Linked DNA regions of Danio rerio. The protein of the gene in region 3 purifies or fractionates together with the protein of the main gene of each other region. This does not show direct contact. Links are inferred from orthologs where the notes say so. Each region holds a gene or a part of one and is shown on either strand. Other genes may lie near its edges.

Region 1 (5,121 bases), on a different chromosome or scaffold from region 3:
AATATATAATATTTATATAGCCCTTACAAGTATTATATATTTATTTTTACAAATAAAATGAATAGATTAATAAATACCATATTGACCGTTATTACCTGCTCTATATATTGATAATTTGACAAATTCACATGTATTAAAACAGCAAATAGTGTATTCTGATACTGTGATTGATTGTATTGTAGCTGGACACTGGGCTGCTGTCTTCATGTCTGCCCGAACTGACCAAGATGGCACGCAAGTTCACACATATCTCAACACTGCTACAGGTGACTGTCTTCTTATAATCTTCTGTTCTCGCGCAGATAGTATGTTTCATTCTCTTTTGTCTTTTTAGTATCTGCGTGTCTCTCTCACCTGCATGTGTGAAGCATGGGAGGAAATTCTTATGCAGATGGACCTCCGCCTCACTAAGTTTGTCCAGGTCAGTTCAAAACAAACAAGCAGTTATAAGACACCACTGGCATTCATTAGACATTTAAACCACAGTTGATTATTGCAATAATGGACTGATCCACTGAAGCTATCCTAACTGGCTTTGATTTGTTTATTAAAACTTTTAGAACAGTTGATGAGTTGCAGTGTTGTTTTACAGGAAAAAAACACAAGCACTCAGGTTCAGGATGAGTTTTTGGAGCTGCTGTTATGGGGCCATGCAAGGTAAACAATTTATAGATGAAATAGATGAAATGTTCATTCATGAGTTAAAGTGAAACTGCCGAACTGCAGTTAAAGTCAGGCATCCTGCTGATTTCATTCAGAAGGGCACTTTTTGTCAGACGGCTCACCGGTCAGGTATACATATCAAGGTGAAAGTCATCATAGCTTGCGTAGAATAGACCCAGCTCCCAAACCAACTTTGAGAGTACATTCACGGCAATATTTTTTTGTTGCGCGATAAGAGTCTCGTGTTAGCGCAGCACGTATATTTTATTTATTTATTTTTATTTATTTAAATCTGAGTATTTGATATAATTTTAAAATAAACTTTTAAATCATATATTTAAAACAAATTGTATTATATTGAAGTAGACATGTCACATAGATTTTAGATTTCTTCTATGTACAATTGAGGGCAAAACGAAGAAATTATTGTAATATTTAACAGAGCAAGGACAGTATTTCCTATAATATTTTTTCTTCTGGAGAAAGTCTTATTTCTTTTAGTTTTGCTTAAATAAAAGAAGTTTTACATTAATCCGTTAAGGCCAGGTTTATTAGCCCTTTAAGAAATATTTATTTTTGATTGGTTACAGGACTTATCCAATAACTTGCCTAATTAAATTAACGTACAAAGTTAACCCAATAAACTTATTTAAGCCTTTAAATGTCACTTTAAGCTGAATTCCAGTGTCCTGCAAAGTAATTAGTAAAATATGATGGACTGTCATCACTGCAAAGACAGTCATAAAAAGATAGTCATTAAAACTAATATGTTTAGAAATGTGTTCTTCTCTGTTCAGCAGCACTTGTTTTTTTTTTTAAATAGTTCAAAATTAACAGGAGGCTAATAATTTTGATTTAACTGTACATGAAATCAGTTTTTGTTTAATGTAATTTTAAGTGATAGTCTAAACAAATATAAATACTTCCTAAGTGTTTCTAAACTTTCATGAATTTCTTTTTGCTGTTGAACACAAATCAATATGTTCTAAAGAATGTTGCAAACCTGCAGTCATTGACATTCACAGTGGGAACAGAAATGCTGTGGCTGCTGCTTCCCAACATTCTTCAAAGCATCTTCTTTTTTGGAACAGGTTTGAAACAAGTGGAAGATAAGCAAATGATAACAGAGTTTTCATTTTCGGGTGAACTATTCCTTTAATGTGGACACCAAAATGGCACATCTTGTCTCTGTTTGGAATGTAAATATATGCCTCAGTGGGATGCCTTGAAGACAAAAAGGTTGAGAAGTACCACAGTCAACCTTCTCATGCTTGTATTTGCTCTGAATGACCAACAGAGGGCACAATGTGACTTTAAAACTTTTACAGCTACCGACAGAATCTGAAAAAATACCATCTACAATACATTCATTTACAACCATTATCCAAAGGCTGTCACTAGTAGGGAAATAAGCCAAAATGTGTTTTTTCACCCCATAGATCCTTATTTCTGGATGAACAAAAAAACTTTAAGGAAAAAAATGTTCAGGTTTTTTTTAGATCTCCAGCCTGAATACAAACAGCTGTAGTACTGTTTTTTTGATGATGATGTGTTGATGTTACTTTTTTAAAACTTTATAAATGCAGTTTTCTCTTTCAGCCCTGAACTTCAGGCTCTTCTCATGAATCAGCTCACAGTCAAGGTAAATCTACCTTGCTAATCCTATCTGCTTACATTGCTTTAGTGATTATTACCAACATCATTCATTGTAACTACATTTTTTGTTATTTGACCACTCAGGGCTTGAAGATGCTGGGTCAGTCTATTGATTCTTCCTATTCCAGCATTCAGAAACTTGTTATCAGTCACTTGCAGAGGTGGGTATTGTTCACCTGATAGAGAGTGTTAGCGATCAGCATGATCAGTGTTTGCTGTTCCCATAGTGGCTCTGAGGCGCTGCTCTATCACCTGAGCGAGGTCAAAGGAATGGCTCTATGGAAGCAGAAGTTTCAGCCTCTAGGCCTGGATCCTTCAGACATAGAGGGTAAAACAATCACTGTTTGTAGACTTTAATTATTTTATTATTATTTATATTCTATTATTCATGAATACTTTGAATCAGTTTCAACAATATATTATATATTTTTCATTTTATGTGTTATGCGCATTAATATTTAATTCTAATATGTATATCAAAGGGCCATGACTCCACCCCTTTCTCAGCAGGGTCTTTTCAGACCTCTAGTTTGAAAAATGTCTGGAAAGTGGGTTAGTCCAGCTTTGTTTAGGCGGGAGTGTCGAGTGGAAAAAGAGGGAAGGGTTTGCATGAAAAGGGGAGTTTCATTACGAGCACTACAGCTGATTTTCACAGCGGCAACGCAAACATGGACACAAGGGAGATAGACTGTGATTACTTTTACAAGGACATCAGTAATCAAATTATTTGCTTTAATCTGAAAAAGACAATAATAAGATTAAGGTGTTTACATGAGTTGCTTTTAAATGTTCCTTTAATGCTTGAGACTAGGTAGGTGCAGAGAATAGCATTAAACAGCCGTGTGTGTATAGACTATCCTGTCACAAAAATGTGGTGAAAATCCAACACAATGATATTAGTTTGATTAATGTGTTTACATTTGGAGAGCAGCATTTACAGCGGATCTATCAGTCCATAATATTGTAGTGATTTTAACATACTGTAAATTTAGTAACTTAATCATTTTGACTAAGGCATGTCTTTAAAAACTGAAAGAGTACTGCTGATGATACTAACTAACTTTGCCATCTGAATAAACATAAACAACAAACACTGATCACACACTTACTAAAACCTTAAAGACAGGACAATCAACTCCAACTGGAACTCCAACTTTTTAAAAAAGAAACGAGTGGCTTTTCTGGATTTCACTATATACATATGCAAAAAGCTCTTCGGTACAGAAATGTTCCTTACAAACATATTTTTATTGCGTGTTAGCAGACCACTGTAATGCACATATGTGGGTCCACACACTGTGCTATACTAATGCTGTGCAATACTGGTGACCCTCGTCTCAAAACAATTCTTCTTTTTCCACTTGTTTTAATTACGGTTGGAAATACAACGTGGTGTCTCTCTGAACACCGTAACAGGTAAAAACAGTCTTCGAAGCTATCATGCATATTAATGAAGTTACACCTCACACACAATAGAGCACGCTGATTGGTTCGAACCAAGTCTTTCTCATGAGTTAATGATAAAAACTAAAAAATGTCAATTTGTACTAGCCGGTACAGACATCCAGTCTGTACTCTGGTATTTACACAAGAATCTCATGGCCGTGACGTAGTTTTGAAATTTATTTTCAAACCGGAAGATCTAATTTGCTCGAAATAATGCAAAACAACCAGTTTTCACTTTCACGCGTAGGACACAAATATCACTTTCAACATCTCAAAAAATTGTGTTTTGGTGTTTTGTGATCCTTTAATGTAGTCGCATGGTTATTTTAATCTAGACTTTGTTCAGTTAACAATAATAATAGTTTTGGTGAACAGCAGATAGTCGATTAATCTGATCATATTTTGTGCATTCTTTTGCTTGCATAATATCCAGTTGACAATTAAAAACATACTTTAAATAAAAGTTCACACTAATTGGAATTATGTTTGATATTTAAAAGATATTTTCTTTGCATTCTCTCTTGTTTATGGTTTAGATGCCATCGTAGCAGTGGGCTCTTTTACCCTGAAGGCCAGCGAACTTTTACAGTGAGTTTATTGTTATTCTGTCTACTGTGATCTTATTGTCTGCTCTGTATAATTCATTATAAAACTCTTCTCTACTGATTGTATTTCAGAGTCATCGATAAAAGTATGAAGAACTTCAAAGCCTTCTTCAGATGGCTGTATGTTGGTAAGCAGCATTTTTTTTTGTGTGAGATTTACCTTGCAAATAAATGTAGTCAAGTCTCTGATTCAAAACCTAGTGTTACTTAAAGCTTCCTAATGGAAGTTTGCTAGATTTCAAGTATTGTTATTTTAACAATGTGCAAACTGACACAGAGGATGTAATCCATAAAAAAGGTCTTGAGAAAGTCCAAAAAGCATTCACCTAATGATTAAGCCTATTAAAATTTGTTTAAAATTACAATTTAACTCAAGTTTTAAAAGTAAAAATGATCTGAAAAAATGTATAGGGTTTAGTTTTTTATAAGATTAATAGTTAAATAGATGTATAAGAATAATTGTAGTTAAATAATACAGTAATAAAACAATGTGTTGTTTTGTACTAATCATTTGAATGGAGGATTAAATTAATCAATCATATAGACCAGTGGTCACAAACGCAGATCCTGGAGCGCCGCAGCTCTACATAGTTTAGCTCCAACCATTTCTAACTCACACCTGCTTAATAGTCTTTAGTAATCTTGGTCACCTTGATTATTTGGATCAGCTGTGTTTGATTAGGGTTGGAGCAAAAATGCAGAGCTGCAGCCTTCCAGGAATTGAGTTAGAGTCCTATGATTTAGACAGACT
Region 2 (5,121 bases), on a different chromosome or scaffold from region 3:
AAGATTTATTTGTTTCAAAGTAATTGATACCTATTCGGATATTTCAAAGTTAAATGCTGAGTTACTCTGTTTTTTGATATTTTATTTTATACTCTGTTTTTTATTTTATGTTGCATGAATCCTTTTTGTTTTTGACTGAATCAAGCAGTTTAAATCTTGCTTAGAAGTGTATGAGTTTATATGCTGATTTAATTTAACATTCATGCCATCAATGTATTTTGAATGTAGCAGTCTGTAAGTGAGATGACTTCAAGAACTATCAATACAATAGAAAGATTAGTATTGGTCATAGAAAGGAATAGAATTGGAAGCAATAAATCTCATTACCATAAATGTAATGGCTTCACCTTCTTTTTAGATTCATATCATGTCTAATGAAGCTCTTCAATGTTTTTGTAATTTTTAGTTAATTTAATTGTTGTTTATTGTCTGTCAGGTTGGCAGAAGGAGAACAGATCCTGACCGGAGGAGTTTTGAACAAACAGAAAAGTCAAGATGACATCATAACTGAGTTTGGAGACTCGGCCTGCTTCACTCTGGCATTGCTCGGACAAATTTACTGGTATGTTGAGCTTGTTTGGCTTCTAAACTTGATCTGCTGAAATCCGTAAACTGTAGCGAAGCTATGAAGATATCTACTCTGCTGTTATTGTTGAGCAAAGAGCTGTTAGTGAGAAATTGTTGTTTAATTTGTGGAAAGGCGACTGGTACAAAGCTCTTAATGGATTTAGTGGTAACCAAGCCTGTTTTGAGTTTTTTGATGTGCTCAGTGACCATAAGATTGCTTGAATTCAGTATTTCTACAGGTAGCTGGTGGCAGGTTGTTTAGTAACAGAGGCTCCTTTGTTTTTTTTCTATGGGAGATTCCTTTTCTAATGAATCATGTGATGTTGTGTAAAGTAGGGTCATCCAAAATACTTACTTTGTTTTTTTGGTACGGAAATTTATAAATGTCCACTCCCTGCTAACATTTGAGTGCTGTTGAGCCGGTTCTTAAACACTGCAGACTGGCCAGTGTTCACATTCAACCGATATAATGGATTTGGATTCAGTGATCATCACTTTATCAGTATTCACCAAGCACTGGCACGAAACACAAACATTTGCTCTTCAGTGTTTGAAATTTTTAAGCAGTGAAAATTAAACCACACTAAGCTGAACTTCCACTCTGAAAACTGGACTGACACTGTTTCAATTTACTAGAACTTCTATTTTAAGCATGTATGTCAACATGAATTGCCTTTGAAAGCTACATCTATCAGCTGTTCCCTTCATGAGCAGATATTTATTTTTCAAATTTCATCAACAATTAATTTCGAAGTACATGAACATTGGTGTAAACTGCCTCACAGAGCATAGCTCATCCCAAAAAATTAAGAGTCTTTTGTTAATCTCTTTATCCTCAGGCCATCCAAGATGTAGGGATGTTCAATAGAATGTTAAGAAGCAAATTTATTTAAAGTGGCATGTGGGAAGCTGGGAACTGCGCTGTACACACACTCGTGTCTCATTCAGCACACATCCAAAAGTGTGCATGTTTTGCTTGCTTTTTATTGATCGCATGAAGTGGGTCACTTTGAAATCTAGGACATGGCAGATGTTTAAATCAGTGACTTCAAGTAATATTTGAATATGTTGAGACATCAAGTTTTCTTTGTGCTCACTTTGTTCTCACTACAAGCAGAAGCTGGGATTCTCGACAGCTTTACATGAGATGCTCCACTTTAATCTACTGTTATTATTATTTTTTTTAATTAATTAAAATGAAAGTGCATTTTCAGCCTGTTGTAATTTGGATTTCTGCACCACAGTTAAAAATGCATGATTTGTAGAGTCACTGTAAAGTTGAACCATAATAGAGTAAACTGTCATTTTAATTGGATGTTTGTTTAAGGCTTGTGACTAAGAATTTTGAGGTTAAAGCATTTGGGCACAATTATGACGTTTATGTAGCTTTAACTATAACTGTATGTAATTTGATAGAATGCAGACAATACAATGTTATTTGATTTAGAACTGGGCGATAAATTCAAAACTTTTGATTTACCACTTTACCTTGATTTCTTTAGTGTTTTGGCTTTTAGAAAAGCGCATTCTAAATTAAATTGATTATTTCAATTATTGATTGCGTTTTTTATTTTTACATTTTCAATGTAATTATTTATTTACATATTGTTTTACCTTTCATCGTTTAATGCGGTATCCTTTGTGCTGTAAATATACTCTACTATTAAAGGTGAGAAATCTCTTTCTAATGAAATTGTGCTCTTTTAGGAAAAGTCAGCTATATACATTTCATATGTGATGACTGGAAATAGTAAACCTAAACCTATTAAATCTGTAAATATTTGTTTTACAAAATTTATGTAACTTATGTTTTACCTTGGCAAGTTTAGTCATTGTACTATCACTGTGGCATATTCTTAGAAGTAAAGGAATAAGCAGCTGGAAAGGGTGTTGCTTGCAGCTTGACACATGGGTTATTTAAAATAAAAAATTAATGATCTATTGCTACTAATAATCTGTCTTGCTTCTGAATATAAATGCCATTGTCTGCGTTCACTCAAACTGATTTGCTGAAGTGAAATTGTGCATGGTATGTGTGCACTGACCTTTGAATTATCTCCAATACCAAATAAGCCAGCTACAAAGAATATGATTTATATGTTTGAGAGATTCTCTTTTTTTCTCCTATATAAGAGAAAGAGTGAGTTTATGGTGTGTCAGACATGAACATGGTTCACACAGGGTGGTATGTTTTTAAAGAGAAAGTAGAAATAATGAATAACCGAAATGACCAACATGGGGAAGTTTCGTTGGTTATAAGTTATGAATTTTAGTTTCTTTTCACTTAAGTGTCCAGCCCTAGTTTGAATTTTTCTAATTCTGTACACCAGAAAATTATAAAGCACTATTTATTTTACTTGTGTCATTGCTATACTGTACATTTATGCTTATATTTTTATTATATTTTATGCAGATGCACTGCCCTACAAGATCTACCCCAATGATGCACAGCCTTTTATTCCAATTAATCAAAAATGTTGAATTATTACCCAACAAAGCTATTCAGTTCATCTGGTCAAATTGTATTAATATTGCAATATACTGAAGAAAAACTAAATATTGCGATGTCAGGTTGTTGTTTTTTCCCCCCCAATATCATGCAACCCTAATTTTCTGCTACTAAATTGCTGGCAATCATACACAAAACTAATGCTGCTTTCTTTCCCCTGCAGCAAAACTGATCGGATAGCAAAAGGAGCAGAATGTTACCAAAAGAGCATGAGCGAGAACCCCTTCTTATGGTCTCCATTCGAGTCATTATGTCAAATCGGTAAGCGTGTTTCTCAGAATAACCTCAAGCTATGCAATATTTCTTCAGGAGATGCCTGAGAATATGAGTTTAAATCATGCCCCTCTGTCCTACAGGGGAGCGGCCAGACCCGGAGCAAATCTTCAGATTGACCTCCTTGCAGAATTTTAGTGGAGGCAGTGGAGGAGGCATCCCTCCCTCTCCCATTAGCCCTGCGCACACACCTAGTAACAACATGGGACACAGACAAGTCGACACTGTCCTAATGGAGACCCCACAGGAAACTTTGGTATGTCTGTCGTCTGGTTTTGTACAAGGCTATATACATAAACCAATTGTCACAGCTAGATTTTTGCCTCACAGTAATTTTTTCCAGAATGTAACATCATTACCCAGCTTTATTGAAGCGTGCATATGTGATGTCAGAAAAATGACATATTTATCTAGAAATAGCAAACATTTACAGTAGGGGAAGAGGGAATGCACCATTTTGACTTGTATTTTCTTTTTTTTTTGCCCTCGTATAATCATATGTCTGTGGGTTATTGGTATACCTGTAACCCATGACAGCTGGTTATTTCAGAAAGCATTTTTCTGAGTCATCAGCATATTTGTGTCCACGTAAACAATTTAATCTTTGTTTTATGCAATTGTTTGTTTTTCTTTCTTTAAAGGAGCAAAACCGACTCAATCTAGAATCTTCTAACTCCAAGTACTCTCTGAATACGGACTCCTCTGTGTCATACATCGACTCCTCCGTCATTTCGCCAGACTCTGTGCCACTGAGCAGTAGTGGCTCACTCTTATCCAAACAGGTTCAGAATAAACCCAAAAGTGGCCGCTGTCTACTGGGGGGCACAGCCACGCTCAGTCCCCTCACTCCAAGGTAATGAGCTCCTGAGATTTTAATTGGACATTAAGACCGATATTTGCTACAGGTAATCATGCAGAAGATTACTCCAAGTTCCAAGTACGTTATTTATAATGTTGGTAAAAAAAACTCTCTTAATTCTCCATCCAGTGGGATCTGCATGATGACAGGTCTTTAATACTTGGAGTAGATCCTCCACCATGCTATATTTGTTAAAGCATTTAACTATCAAGCATGCTTAATTGGAGCGCATTTGCTTTTAATTCTTTCTAATTAAAACATCTTTTTATTCAGTTAAATGTTTTAGAAGCTATTTTAGCCTTTTTATTACAAATAGTTTTTAATCATAAATATATTGTAAAAAAAATCTTGCAATAAAAGTAGTTATAGAAGCTGGGATGACAAACAAACGTTCTTCATTAATTCTTTCTCTTCATGGATGTGAAGAACTTTGATCTGTTATGTTTTTAGTCTAGTAATTAGTCTCTCTGTTTAAATGGTGTAGTTTTGGAATTTTGCCTCTGGAGCCAAGCCCAGGAGATCCAGCGTACCTGCAGAGTTATGGTCACAGTGGAACTGGGATGGAGCCACCTCCTGCGCCTGGCCCCCCAAAGAAGGTAAGCCTTATTTATTTATAGCAGATTAGTATTAAAGTACTAGTGTCTAATTGTAGCTAACTATCTTTGTTTTTATTGCTATAACTGTAAGTAGGGCCAAGACAGAATCTGCGGTTATTCTTGCTATTTCTGTGAAGAATTTTGTAAAAAATCGGCGGATTTGTGTGGAATTATTTTGGGAGCATCATAACTAAAAATTTAATATGTGAAATAAAATATCTTTTATTTAATGTTTACAATGCAAATCCATCAAGTCTCTCATATCATATATCTACTTATAGGTAGAAAATATTACTTTACAAACTGTATTGTAAATC
Region 3 (4,886 bases):
AATAACATCCATAACGCTCTTCTTGAGAAGGTCTTTATTAGCATAAATATAAAGATTGTTAAACGAGCTTTAAAACTAATTTTAAGGTCTATCTATCTATCTATCTATCTATCTATCTATCTATCTATCTATCTATCTATCTATAGATATATAGATAGATAGATAGATAGATAGATAGATAGATAGATAGATAGATAGATAGATAGATAGATAGATAGATAGATAGATAGATAGATAGATTCTGTAGCCTAGATTTTTACACTTTAGCATTAGAGTAAAATAAATAAATTTGCAGAATTTGTTAGTAGAAAACAAACAATTATATATATATATATATATATATATATATATATATATATATATATATATATATATATATATATATATATATATATATATATACACACATACATACATATATATATATATATATATATATATATATATATATATATACAAATATTTTTTTTTCAGGAATTTGTAGCTTAAGCAGTAATATGTTTCATAGAATAAAACAAAACAGTAATTAAACCATTAGTTATTAACAATAAAGACTGATAAACGTTTTGCAATTTCTTATTGTTTTGCTTATTTGTTTGATACTTGGGTCAGATGTTAAATCTACTGTATTTAGATTGTAGATTGATAATACAATTTGTACAATATAACAACCATTATGCCTCACAAAACAGCAAACCGGACATGTGAGTGCATAATGGGCCACTCTAGATGATGTATATCACTTTCATTTAGGATTTTTCTTTCTAATTGAGTCGACTGAATCTATTATATGATGTTTCATCATAATTTTTTTGATCATCATTTGTTGACAATTTCTAGTGCATAATTTATTTATTTTTTTGCAATATATCGTTTGAATTTAAATGTATTATCTTTCTATACCTGAAGGTGTTAGGTGAAAAAATATAGCTGTTTTGTTTAAATGCACCAAAAATTTTGTATATATTTGCTGAGAAATGGATCAAAATATAATTTTTTAAAAGGGGTTGTACTCGTATATGCTGAGCACTGTGTATGTATTTCCTCTCTAGTTATTCATCTTTTTATCTCTTTAATCTTAACATTTTAATCACTAGGAATAATCTTTGCAAAAAATAAATCTCCGTAGTAACTTAAATTCTGCCAGGATATCTTACTTTTGTGCAATACCCTTAGGACTGTTCTGCATTGTAAATAATAACAATTTTCACTTTTGGTGACCCAACCCTTTAATTCAGTTCAGTTCAATACAAATGTCACTGTTTAAACATGATTTACTAAACAGCAGCTCCACCAGTCTACAAAAAAAATCATACCATGTCATTTTTCACCATTTTATTTTTGGGACATTTAACAAGGAAACATATCATAAACAAACTATAGATAAAAACTGATACGACGCAGCATTTATTTCTGTGCAATTAATCTCCTCAGGAAGTGTCTCCCCTGAAATTAAAAAGAACTTCATTAGTCAAAGTCCAATATTTTAGGATATTATGCTATTGCCTGACAGGCAAGCTCACTCTTTAAACTTCCACTCCTGACGGCACATCGGGCACTGCTGCTGCACTTGCTGAGAGTTCAGCCACTTCAGGATGCAGTGCATGTGGAAACAGTGTGAACACTGACCCCAGACCAATGGACAGTCATCTCCTGGAACCTTACCTGTTAAAAGTAAAAAGTCTATTTTTAATATATTACGCGTTAAAAAAAAATGAACGCAGTTGCAGTTTTTTTTTTTTTTTTACTTTCTGTTGTTGTTGAAGTGTGTTTAACGTGCAAAAAATATGAATAAGACCAAGGAAGCACTTTTTGAAGGCAAGTTTCAGTATAAAACATTTAATGTCGCATCACCAGGCTCTCCAGAGTTTCATGCAATTTCGGGTGTTTCGTTTTTAACTTTCAACTTCTGTTTTAATGGAATTTGATACCACATGACGAACGGAAAGAAAAACCTCAGCATTTCGTGACTCTGTGGTCCTTTAAGATAATCAAAAATTGTTGCTTACATGGTAGACTCTTAATAAGAGTATTATCTTAATAATATTAAAATCGGAGTACTGGTGTCCATGTACATACTCAGAACGTGTCAGATGAAGTCGCGAGTTTTCAAAGACAGCGCATTCCTCTGCCTTTCAGTATGAGCCCTCCAATGTTTCATTAAGTTTTGTAAAGTGTCTGCCTCCCGTTGTTGTGTCAGAATCCTTATGAAATACAGGCATACTTTAGAACACTTAGTTTAAGCAAATTTGATGAACGCGATCATGCGTGTTGAATCTGAAGAGAGTCGCTCCGGCTGCCCTGTCCTGACCTGCGCGCATTTTGTGTGCATATGTATGTGTGTATGAGTGTGTGTGTGTGTGTCTGTGTCAGGCCCGTGCACAAAGCACAGACCCTTACAAGGGCAGGTACTCAACGCGATCGTAAAGTGAAGAGCAAATGCCTCCTGAGAGGGGCACCTCAGCCAATAAGGGCGGAGGGGCAGTGGCTCTAGCCAGAGGGCCACCCCCCTATGCATGGCCCTGGTCTGTGTGTGCGCGAAACCTGCCTAAACGTTGTTGTCTGTAGCCACTAAATCAAAAAGTTACGAATTGCCATGCAATGAATTGCATTTCACTCTCAGCTCACATTATTCCAAAAAAAAAGGTCAACAGACTGCATTGTCTTAGCAACTGGATGAATGTAAAGGAGGACTAAGCAAAATTGTTTCTACTTTATAATTAATGTTCTCAACTCACAGCAATAAAACTTTACAATGAGTACAATTGTTTGTATTAAATTCTTTATTGTTATTATAATTTTCCATTTTCCATAACTTCGATGCCTGTATTTTGGCATTTTTTTTGCAGAATCGAACTTGGAAATCATTTTTTTCTTTACTGGTATTGATTGTTTTAAAATTAAAATGGCATTAACACACAGAAAATATGAATGTCAAGCCAGCATCTTGATGGATTTGTGTGGAAATGTTGTTTACATGAAAAAATCTGTGTTACGAGTTATACACAAATTCTAATAAACAATTATATTTTGAATTTAAATAATTTTTGTCTTGCGTTTACATTAAGTTTACATTTGAATAGCCAAAATTACAAGTTTCAGTCTTTTAAATGCAAAAATTTTTCCAAAAAAAGTGTGATTAATTCGTTTTTTTTATTTTTATATTTTAATACATTTTTAAATCGATTGTCAGCACTAATATATATATATATATATATATATATATATATATATATATATATATATATATATATATATATATATATATATATATATATATATATATATATATATAATAAAGAGGGAGGTGGGTGAAATTACGAGACTTTTTTTTTTTTGAAAGAAATAAAAACGGGATGTTTGCGGTAGACTGGTCTGAAATATGTGATACTCCCATGAAAAATGGAAGTGTTGGCTGGTGTGCTTACCCGTTTAATATTGATTTAATCTGCTATAGTTGGAAATCAGACTGTTATATCGTCTAAGCGTAAGGGCTTATGCGGTTCTGCCGCCATCTTTTGGTAGAAAGCGTCAACTGCCGCCAACGAGCTGTCTCAGAAATTGTAAATATTTTAAAATAGGCATTATTCTTGCAAATAAACTGCATAGTTGCGATCTAAACAACTACATTCTTGAAAAAGCCTCAAAAGTATATTTTGTTGTGTAACAGCAGTAATGTTTGTCAAACTGTAGTGTCTGCTTGTTGCTGGCTGTATGTGGACGGAGTAATACACAAAGGGTAAAGAGGCTGTACGGATGCTGATATTACTTAAATATATCACAGCTATCAGCCAATCAGATTCGAGATCCAGACAGAACTGTTGTATAAACATACATACACACACAACTAATGCTTAAGGCATTCCAAGACAGGCACCATCAAGTGTATCTGTCTGCGGACTGCAAGACAGGTGTAGTTGGTAAGAAAGGTGTAACTTGCAGCTATCGAGACCAACTGAACCATGCAAGATTTCATAACGAGATGTTGGCAAGATGGCGAAAATACTTAACAAAGAACAATTTTTTACCAAATGTTTTTATGCGTTTTCTCCAAATGTATCTACAACCAATTAATATGCTATATTATTATATTCATTCATTTAGCAACTCTATGCAGTTTATTTATACGGATAATGCCAATTTTTAATGTAATTTCTGAGAGACAGCGTGATTTCAGAGAGATGATTAGCCTGTCACGAAGCAAAGACGATTGACAATGTCCATCCACAAGATAATAACCCCTTGGAGGAGAAAAACGCCATACAGTAATTTCTAACTATACATGATCAAATTATTACTAAAAAGGCCAGTGACATTATAAGTTGATCTCTCTCTCTTTTATGTTTTAGTGCTGTATTTATTATACTATAATTATATTGTAGTGTATTGAGTGGGAGATGGGACTCGGATCAGTAATGTATATATTTTGTGTTGGCCACTCCTTGTATAACCCCAAGTAACTTTTTGGTTGGCCATTTGTTTGTTTCTAATGAGTCTCCTGTTTTCGTTACTGCAGACTGGTTCAGTAAAAAAAAAAAAAAAAGAAGAAATATATGCATTTTTTCCACTAATATACATACACATATATATATATATATATATATATATATATATATATATATATATATAGGGTGGGCCATTTACATGGATACACCTTAATAAAATGGGAATAGTTGGTAATATTAATGTCTTGTTTGTGGCACATAAGTATATGTGAGGGGGCCAACTTTTCAAGATGGGTGGTGACCATAGTGGCTACTTTAAAGTCGGCCATCTTTGTCCCAAATTTGTTTTTTCGATAGGAAAAGGATCATTGTCCCATCAAACTTGCTTGGTTTTAATATAACTATTCTTAAAAAATAAAGTTACATTAAAACCAGGCACAC

The links.
Region 1: the proteins of anapc11 (region 3) and anapc4 purify together in Homo sapiens (affinity purification with mass spectrometry; 8 studies listed by BioGRID and IntAct, with this or other methods). This does not show direct contact. The link is inferred for Danio rerio from reciprocal best matches to the Homo sapiens genes ANAPC11 and ANAPC4.
Region 2: the proteins of anapc11 (region 3) and cdc27 purify together in Homo sapiens (affinity purification with mass spectrometry; 8 studies listed by BioGRID, with this or other methods). This does not show direct contact. The link is inferred for Danio rerio from reciprocal best matches to the Homo sapiens genes ANAPC11 and CDC27.

The regions. Positions count from the first base shown.
Region 1 is NC_133195.1:26,085,873-26,090,993, reverse strand, and holds part of anapc4 (anaphase-promoting complex subunit 4), read left to right. Parts: intron 1-182; coding exon 183-266; intron 267-334; coding exon 335-421; intron 422-592; coding exon 593-657; intron 658-2,262; coding exon 2,263-2,305; intron 2,306-2,403; coding exon 2,404-2,480; intron 2,481-2,546; coding exon 2,547-2,647; intron 2,648-4,301; coding exon 4,302-4,353; intron 4,354-4,442; coding exon 4,443-4,498; intron 4,499-5,121. UniProt on the Homo sapiens protein: Component of the anaphase promoting complex/cyclosome (APC/C), a cell cycle-regulated E3 ubiquitin ligase that controls progression through mitosis and the G1 phase of the cell cycle.
Region 2 is NC_133178.1:20,775,465-20,780,585, forward strand, and holds part of cdc27 (cell division cycle protein 27 homolog), read left to right. Parts: intron 1-436; coding exon 437-562; intron 563-3,239; coding exon 3,240-3,337; intron 3,338-3,432; coding exon 3,433-3,605; intron 3,606-3,990; coding exon 3,991-4,202; intron 4,203-4,692; coding exon 4,693-4,804; intron 4,805-5,121. UniProt on the Homo sapiens protein: Component of the anaphase promoting complex/cyclosome (APC/C), a cell cycle-regulated E3 ubiquitin ligase that controls progression through mitosis and the G1 phase of the cell cycle.
Region 3 is NC_133181.1:24,264,960-24,269,845, forward strand, and holds the end of anapc11 (anaphase-promoting complex subunit 11), read right to left. Parts: intron 1,666-4,886; coding exon 1,524-1,665; coding exon of another isoform or gene 1,520-1,523; intron 1,447-1,519; coding exon 1,431-1,446; 3' UTR 1,321-1,430; downstream 1-1,320. UniProt on the Homo sapiens protein: Together with the cullin protein ANAPC2, constitutes the catalytic component of the anaphase promoting complex/cyclosome (APC/C), a cell cycle-regulated E3 ubiquitin ligase that controls progression through mitosis and the G1 phase of the cell cycle.